Coturnix japonica: one gene and its partner. The protein of the gene in region 2 purifies or fractionates together with the protein of the main gene of each other region. This does not show direct contact. Links are inferred from orthologs where the notes say so. Each region holds a gene or a part of one and is shown on either strand. Other genes may lie near its edges.

Region 1 (4,321 bases), on a different chromosome or scaffold from region 2:
GCACAAATAACTTTTTCTCCCCCTCCCACCTGTAGCTGTCGTCTCCTGGGCTTTCCCTCTGTCCCCATCATATCCGCTGTGTTTCAGTCAAGGCTTTAGCCGAGGTTTCCCCAGCACCCACGCTGGGCTGCATCTCTCTAGGAAGGCAGTGTGGGTATTTGTGTCCTGCAGGTGCCCTGTGCTCCCGGAGCTCAGTGTGCTGCTTCCCTGCATCTTCTGCCCTCCCTGCAGCAGGCAGGGGTGAGGGCTGGGGGAACAGCCCCAGCAGCTCCTTGAGCTCGGACAAAGTCCAGCAGCCTCCAGTGCTGCCCCTTGCCCTGCTGTGCTCCAGCTGCACTCAGCAGTAAAACACACTGGTTGGTAGTTTGCACCTTTCTTAGCTCGGCCCTCAATCATGACTAATTTGCACCTTGTTATCACTACAGCTCCCCACCTGCTGTTATTTATCCCCAAGTTCTGTCTCCATACCCTGTAACTGTATATACTGTTTATGAGAATAATGCATATCTGTATATATAGCCGCTGCTGTTTGTGTGTTCGTTGGGATGACTGCAATCTCTGTTCTCGGAGCCTGGAGGGGGCAGAGCGAGGGCTGGGCACTTCCCCCTCCTCCCCTCTTGCCCCCCCCAGGGCCTGGAACAGGCAGGAACCGTCCTTGGGAAGCACCGTGAAGCACAACTGCTGCTGTTACAAAACAAATAAGATTTAATAAATACATTCGTTCTGCGTCATCTTCAGCCGTGGCGCCGCTCCAGTCTGAGCTGTGATGTGCAGCAGCGCCGCTCCAGCACTGAGGTCAGGGATGGGGGCTGAGCTCTCCTGGGCAGCTCCCACGCTCAGTCCCAGCTTTCAGGGCTGGAGCTGTGCTGTGGGGATGGGAGCCCTGCGCCCCTCCCTGCTGCAGGACGCAGACATAAGTGCTCCAGGGCCCACAAACCACCTCCAGCGCCTGCAGCCCCTGAGCCCGGAGCTGCTCCACACGCCGTGGCTGGTCGCAGCTGGCGCGGTCCCTGTGCCCGAGCTGCCCGTATTTCCCTGTGGGCAGAGCAGCGCAATGTGGGGCCTGGTGGGAAGATTCACCCCTGGGGCCAGCAGCAAAAGGTGCCAGCGCCCCAAACCAGCCCCTGTATAAGCAAAACAGGAGCAGAACCACAGAGCAGAGGCAGCGCTTACCCCAGCCCCAGGTGTACAGCTCTCCGCCTCCTGCAACCAGGACAGTGCCGTCAGCCCCCAGGCCGGGGGATGCAGGACCCCCCCATCCCCGGGCACTCACTTGTGACCGCAGCCGTGTGCCGTGAACCGCAGCTCACCGCAGCCACTGCCGGCTCCATCGGGAGGTCCAGCAGGGCTGGGAAGGCCTGGATGGAGATGAAGGCAGCGCCCGGCGGCTCCCCGGGCAGCGGCGGATCTTGGAGCCCTGCACACAGCTCTGCTCAGCCCCACAGCTGAGCCCGGCGCTGCTGCAGCCCCACGGCGTCCTCACCTGCACCCACGTCCTCATCCTCTCCCTGCTGCTCCGCCACCGCCCGGGAGGGCAGCCCCAGTTGTCCCGACTCGTTCCAGCCCCACACGTAAAGGTCTCCCCCATCTGTGGAGGTCGGGTCCCGGTCAGGTCGCAGCAGGAGCTGCCGCCCCGCGCCCCCGTCCAGCACCGAGCCCCTCACCGCTGATACAGGCCGAGTGCCACCCGCCGGCTGCCACCTCCCTCACGGGCAGCCCGCACAGCGCCTCCACCAGCCGAGGCTGCTGCTCGGATTCCAGGCTGCCGTGGCCGAGCTGCCCGTGCCTGTGGGGAGACACAGACAGAAGGACACAGACAGACGCCTCCCCCGCTCTGTGCCGGCTGCTCCTGTGTGTGCAGCTCATCCTACGGGGCTGCACAGTACAGCAGGAATCTGCAGCCCAGTGAAACGGGAAGACCAACGATTAATATCCATAAATACAAGCCCCGCTGAGCTGACTGCTATGACAACAGGCACCAACTGCACTGAAAGCCAACGCAGCTGGACCGACCCTGAGTGCTGCAGAAGGAGCCGGCCCTGTCTGCACCGTGCTTCTCCATCAGCTTCGTCTCATGTAAACGGCAAAGAGAGAAACAGACAAAGCTTCCCATAGTGCCGCTGGGTTCTGCTCAGGGACACACACCGACACGGGACCGTCACTGTCAGCTCAGCCACGAGCAGCGCCCCGAGCACAACGGGGCACTGAGCGTCCACAGGGCGCAGTGAAGAACCGAGACCGGAGTCGCTCATTGCAGTCAGTGTTTATGTGTAGCAGCAGCACGAGAACAGGAGCTCGGTTCGCTCCCAGCTCGGCTGGGCGCTCTGCCGGCTCCCTCAGCAGGTGATCGCTGTTTGATAGCGCTCAATAACCCACGGCCACCCCGCGCCCCCCCGCTCACCTGCCGGCTCCCCAGCCGTACACCTCCCCGGCCTGTCCCAGCCCCACCGCGTGCTCGTGTCCCAGCGCCAACGCGCGGAGCGGCGTCTCCCGTGGCAGCGCGGTGTAGAACGGCGGCCGCGGGGCCACGAACCCGCCCGGCAGCAGCGGCAGCGCGGGGCGCGCTCCCGGCGGCAGCTCCCGGCTCCACGCGGGCTCCCCCCGCAGCTCGTCCCGCAGCGCCGCCGCGAGGGGCCACGCCTGCACCGCCGCGCCCCGCAGCAGCACCACGTGCGTCTCCGACGGCAGCGCCGCCGTGCAGTCCTCGGGCAGCGGCCGCCGCCGCCCCGCGCTGAGCAGCTGCAGCCCGGAGCCTGCGGGAGCGGCGGCGTCAGCGGAGCCGGGGGGGGGACGGTCCCAACCCCGCCGGGATCCGAGCGCCGCGGGGCGGCAGAACGGAGGAACCTCGGGGCCGGGGGGGGGGAGCTCACCCGTGTCCAGCACCGCGCAGCTCCACGCGGGACACACGCGGCGGATCACGGCGCCCTTCAGCCCCAGGCGCTGCCGCCCCGGCCCCGGGGCCCCCGCCGCCTCCTCGGCGTTGAGGCCGAACAAGAACCAGGAGCGGCGCGGATCCGCCATGAAGGGGGGGGGGAGATGGGGGCGGAAGGGAGCGGGCGGGGCCGGAGGGACGGGAGGCGGAGCCGCCGTTAAGGAGCAGCTGCAGTTCATCCTGCGGGGCCGGAGCCCCGGTAAGGCACGGGAGGGAATGCGGCCCCAGCTCTGCGGTGTGTCGGCCCCAGCATCGCGGTGTGTCAGCCCCACAAGCGGCGTGCGGCCCCGGGCGGCCCCCGAGCAGCGCGGTGAGCAGAGCGGGGCAGCATCGCATCGCATTGCATCGCATCGCATCGCATTGCATCACATCGCATCGCATCGCATCGCATTGCATCGCATTGCATCGCATCCCATCCCATCACTGCTGGCCGGGATGGGGCTGGATCAGCCCGTACTGCACCGCCCGCTCCAGACTCTCCTGCGCCGCCTGCGCCACGCGCGGTTTGTCCCGGTCCTTGGCCAGCACGGTCAGGATCTCCAGCATCTCGCTGGCGATCAGCAGCTCGGCCACCTCTCGCGCCGCCGCCATCATGTTCATCACCACCACGGCCCCGCGGTGCTGCAGCTCGGCGCTGGGGCTCAGCAGCAGCGCCTGCAGGATCTCCAGCCAGTGCACGGTCTGCGGGCACAGCACCATGTGCTTTGAGGGCCCGAACCCACCCGCGCTGTACGGCACAGCCCCCCCCGCCTGCAGCTCGGGGCACAGGCCGCCCCGCACTCACCACCTGCGGGATCCTCTTGCAGATGGGGGGGTGCAGCGCTGTCAGCATGGCCAGCGTCCCCGATGCCGCCCGCCGCAGCTTCTCGTCCTCCTCCCCGCTGTACAGAACCATCAGCTTCAAGCGGTCGCTGCCCTCATCCAGGAACAGCTCCTGCACCTGCGGGCGAGGTGGGGGCGCTGAGTGCAGCGCAGTGCGGCACAGGGTGGGCTGCAGCCCCTGCCGGAGCCGGCGCTCACCTCCTTGCTCATGGCCATGTTACACATGCACTCGGTGGCAGCCAGGCGGATCAGCTCGTGCTCCTCAAACATGTACCCCTCGATCATGGGCACAGCTCTCTCCTTCAGGATCTTCTGCCTGCAGCGGGGCAGCACTGAGCACCTCCCGCCCCGCGCTGTCCCGGTGCCCCCTCCCCGTGCCCAGGACATCCCAGCCTCTCCCCCCCCGCCCCTACCGCAGCCGCTCGCTGATGCCAGCCAGGTTGGTCAGTGCCATCAGCCCCTCAAAGTTCTCCAGGCCCGAGCGCTGCAGGTGCAGCAGGCTGACCAGGGGCCGGACCACCTCGTAGATCTGTGGAAGACAGCAGGACAGGGCTCAGACTCCAGCCC
Region 2 (3,805 bases):
TCCACCACTCTGAGCTAGAAATGTATTAGTTATCAGCAATGCACAAGATCAAGAGGATTATTTGCCAGGTATCTTGTTGTGAATAACACAATTTCAGATCTAAACAGCTTCAAGTTAGAAAGGAAAATCTGAGAGTAAACCATACTTCACAGAGAAAAAGAAAGCTGAAATAAATGCAATCCACACAAGCTATTCAAGTTTCTATTTTTCATTGTAAAAAAAACAACAAAACAAGTTCTGGTGCATATTCAGCTACAAAAAAAGTTACAGCACTTTGGCATTTAACTTCACAAAGTGCACAGCCATTCATTAGATGATGCAGCTTACGATATATTTGTCTTCAAGAAAAGTCTTACCGAGTGGGCATGCTAGGTAACAAGAGGAAAACAATTAAGACAGCTCCATTTGCTCAAAGACAATTAGCTAACATACAAAAATGTGCCAGCTAATTGGTTAGGGTCTTTTATTTATTGTTCATGAGCTGTATTTTAATACTTACAACTGCCATATGCTGGATCTCTTCTTTTCTTGCATGGCTGGATTTTCTCTTGATGCTCTACAAGAAACAAATTTTAAGTTTACTGAGTAAATGTTAATGAAAATTTAAAAGGGGAAAGAAAAAAAAAATTCTTCTGCCTTAGTATTTTAACCAGTGCTTTTTATTTTAAGATTTGGCTTTTTGATACAGTTGTAAATAAATGGTGGTGATTTATCCTGGACTCATAAACCCAGCATACGCAGAGGAATGAGATTGCTGTAAGAGACAATAACTATAGCTACAGAAAAGCAAACCATAGCTGCTTGGGGATCACATTTCTTTCTCATACTCCGAATGACTCATGGGTATTGAGGACAATAACAAAGAAAAAAAAAAGAATCGAATATCATTCACTGTACCTGACCAGCAGGCAGCAGCAAATGACACCACTGGATATGGAACCCACTGGGGGGTGCCATCCCCTCCAGATAACTCAGTACTGAAGATGCAGGCTAGACCAAGTTCACCAGTTAATACTTAACAAATCTTACGATTTTAAAATTGTGTTTTCTCCTGCACCATTCAAGACCTTATACATGGATTATACTCAGTCTGAAGACTGACTGCATTACTTTCTTGATGTCTCAGCTGCTAACTGAGCACATCGCTTTAAGATGCGTGCACACATACGGTAACTTTTCACCCCCCAAAACAGTGGTGATTAAAAAAGGTTTGTAACCCTGTGAGAAAATGGAAACAGTGTTTGTTTCACATCACATTAAGTAATGCATTCTCAGAGGTGTCACCAAGATCCCATTGTGGCAAACCATTACATGCACATAACTTCAAAAACTTATTCATGGGCAGGCAAGAAGACAAGTCTACTGACCAGATCACACACAGATAAAGCTTGTGAAATCCGAGGAGCTAAGTGTCTTTTACCTTATCATTTCAGTCCATCGAACAGCTTCCTGAAGTTCCATCAGCCTCTCTTTATACTGATTTCTTTCCATCAGAACACGAGCCATTTCAACACGAGTAAAGCGCTTCCGCTGAGCGGTGGGGACATCACTCTGAACACAGAAAAACAAACAGAATGAACAAAGGAGCACAGCAGGGCCTTGCAGAGTCAGCCTCTGCCTTCAGACAAGAGTCAGTTTGGGGCACAATTCCAGATTCTAAACTGTTTGGAGCTTTGTAAAAACTAATTCAATTTTACCCAGTGCTTTCTACCACAGCTTCCTCTCCTCCCATCCTTCCAAATTTAGTAAAATCTGAATAAAAGCAGTTATTCAGGAAGGACAGGAATGACAGAGATAGCGAATTTAAGTTTACTTGGCCTCTTCAGATCTGTTTTAACATGGAGAAAGTTTACCTCTTAAGCAATTAAGCTTAACGGCATTCACTCAATACATGTAGTCTCACATCTACTTGTGAATTATCAATACAAAAACACGCATGCACACATAAACCTACATCATCATCCTCTTTAGCTTTTTGTCTTGCTTCCTCTGCTTCTGCACGAGCTCTAAATAAAAAGAAACACAACGTAAGTAGTTGAATTAGATACCACAGCAATTTTCTTTCTTTTTCAGAATCTCAGTATTAAACTTACCTTTTAAGCTCCTCTTCCAGTTCTTTGTTCTTCTCTTCAAGCTTTTGCTTTGCTTGTTTTACAGCCTCTAATTCACCTTGCAGGACATCCTTCTCACAGGTCAATTCATCCACCTTTGCTATTAAATCATTCTTCACCACATTCAGTGCATTCCTAGACGAACATGTTAAACATCATTACAAGGACGGACTACGGCCTCATAGCACATTTAGCTTCAGTTGAGTTTTATTCCTGACTACTCTTAAGTTTCTCACTTAGAGCTAATATTAAAAAAAATGATAGATTTTCTTAAGCAGGCCAAATCCTCCTGCCAAACCTCCAAGGTTCACAAAACACGTTGTACCACTGCATTAGAAAATAAAGAGGTAAATCAGAACAGTTTGTTCGAGAAGTTACATTCCTCAAGACAGAAAGATGTAGAGACTGATACAAGACTCCATGTAACAGAAGGACGGGAATATATTATTTTTTTACACTTACTTTGTCTCCAACAGCTGAGTGTTTTCCAAAATAAGGTTTTCCACCTCACGACCCATTCCTTTCCAAAGGAAATAAACACAGAATTAGCAGAAGAAATTCATTTCCTAAAAGCCTCAGTTTTATCATTATCCAAAAATAGGTGAATTTTAAGTACGAAGCCTGGCAAAAAAAATTATAAGCTACCTGAAATTTCAGGATCTACCACCTGCAGTTAGGCTTCCCCTCCACCTTCTTCCCAATCTGCCTTCAAATAAAGACTAAAGGCAGCCCTGGCTAACAGGCTGATGCTACCTCCACCTACTAAATACATACTGAGGATGCTACATCTCAACAGACAATAAACAAGTACAGCATCAGTGGGGAAGCATCAGTACACAAAAAGTTAATTCTACAGTGTTCTGCTGTCTTTTACATCAGGTAAGAGTCAAAAGTATGTAAGTTAAACAAAACATGCCAATTAAAGCTCACATTGTGAAAGCCCTGCAAATTTCCCCAGAGCAAATGATACCTTACCAAAGAAATTATGGTCTTTAAAGCCCATGCATTCCATGTAAAGCAAAAACAAGAACAAGAAACATTTCATGTAAGGGCTAGTATGAGTGAAGAGCAGTAAAATACTTAAACTTATGAAGTAAGAGTGAATTAAAACAAAGCCACCACCAATAACTGGAAGTGAAATGTGATGTGGTTAGAAGCGAGACTTTATATGAAAGTTGTTAAACAAAATTTGTCAAACTTTTCTATTGGTTGGACTTATAAAAAAAATTCAGTAATTTAATAGAAGTGTATTTTCTGTGAAATAATTTAGAAGCAAGTAATCAGAAATGCTTAACTGTTCAGTATGTTTCACAGGGATATACTGCTACAAAACACAAGCTTAACTCCTCACGTAGCTGCTTCAATCTAATCTCCACTCTTGTAAATTAACTTCTCATCCCTATTGTTTGCATGCATGAAGTAACCAATTGCAGGGTTTTACAAACAAGGTAGATATGGTCTGTTCACACATGGTACAGCAGAAGTATTTCCAGATTAAACCTTCCACTGTTAACACAATGATGACACAAGTGATGCTGATTCAAGATCAGCACAAGAAAAGAAGTCTCTTAATGGTGGAGGCTTATTAAGACATTCTACAAACACAACTCTTAAGCAATTTTGCTAAAAGACTTAAAAGTTTCATAACAATAAAAAAGGGTTACTCTAAAAATGGACATGCAAGTCAAAATTCC

Evidence for each region.
Region 1: the proteins of SPAG9 (region 2) and RCCD1 purify together in Homo sapiens (affinity purification with mass spectrometry; 3 studies listed by BioGRID and IntAct, counting the BioPlex papers as one, with this or other methods). This does not show direct contact. The link is inferred for Coturnix japonica from reciprocal best matches to the Homo sapiens genes SPAG9 and RCCD1.

The regions. Positions count from the first base shown.
Region 1 is NC_029525.1:18,222,650-18,226,970, forward strand, and holds RCCD1 (RCC1 domain-containing protein 1), read right to left. Parts: upstream 3,022-4,321; coding exon 2,871-3,021; intron 2,754-2,870; coding exon 2,402-2,753; intron 1,787-2,401; coding exon 1,665-1,786; intron 1,589-1,664; coding exon 1,484-1,588; intron 1,418-1,483; coding exon 1,274-1,417; intron 1,204-1,273; coding exon 1,174-1,203; intron 1,036-1,173; coding exon 797-1,035; 3' UTR 683-796; downstream 1-682. Other genes in the region: UNC45A (protein unc-45 homolog A), read right to left, coding at 3,353-3,613, 3,717-3,872, 3,953-4,070, 4,168-4,283. UniProt on the Homo sapiens protein: Plays a role in transcriptional repression of satellite repeats, possibly by regulating H3K36 methylation levels in centromeric regions together with KDM8.
Region 2 is NC_029533.1:8,775,229-8,779,033, reverse strand, and holds part of SPAG9 (C-Jun-amino-terminal kinase-interacting protein 4), read right to left. Parts: intron 3,102-3,805; coding exon 3,087-3,101; intron 2,632-3,086; coding exon 2,574-2,631; intron 2,247-2,573; coding exon 2,094-2,246; intron 2,007-2,093; coding exon 1,955-2,006; intron 1,552-1,954; coding exon 1,421-1,551; intron 557-1,420; coding exon 500-556; intron 1-499. UniProt on the Homo sapiens protein: The JNK-interacting protein (JIP) group of scaffold proteins selectively mediates JNK signaling by aggregating specific components of the MAPK cascade to form a functional JNK signaling module.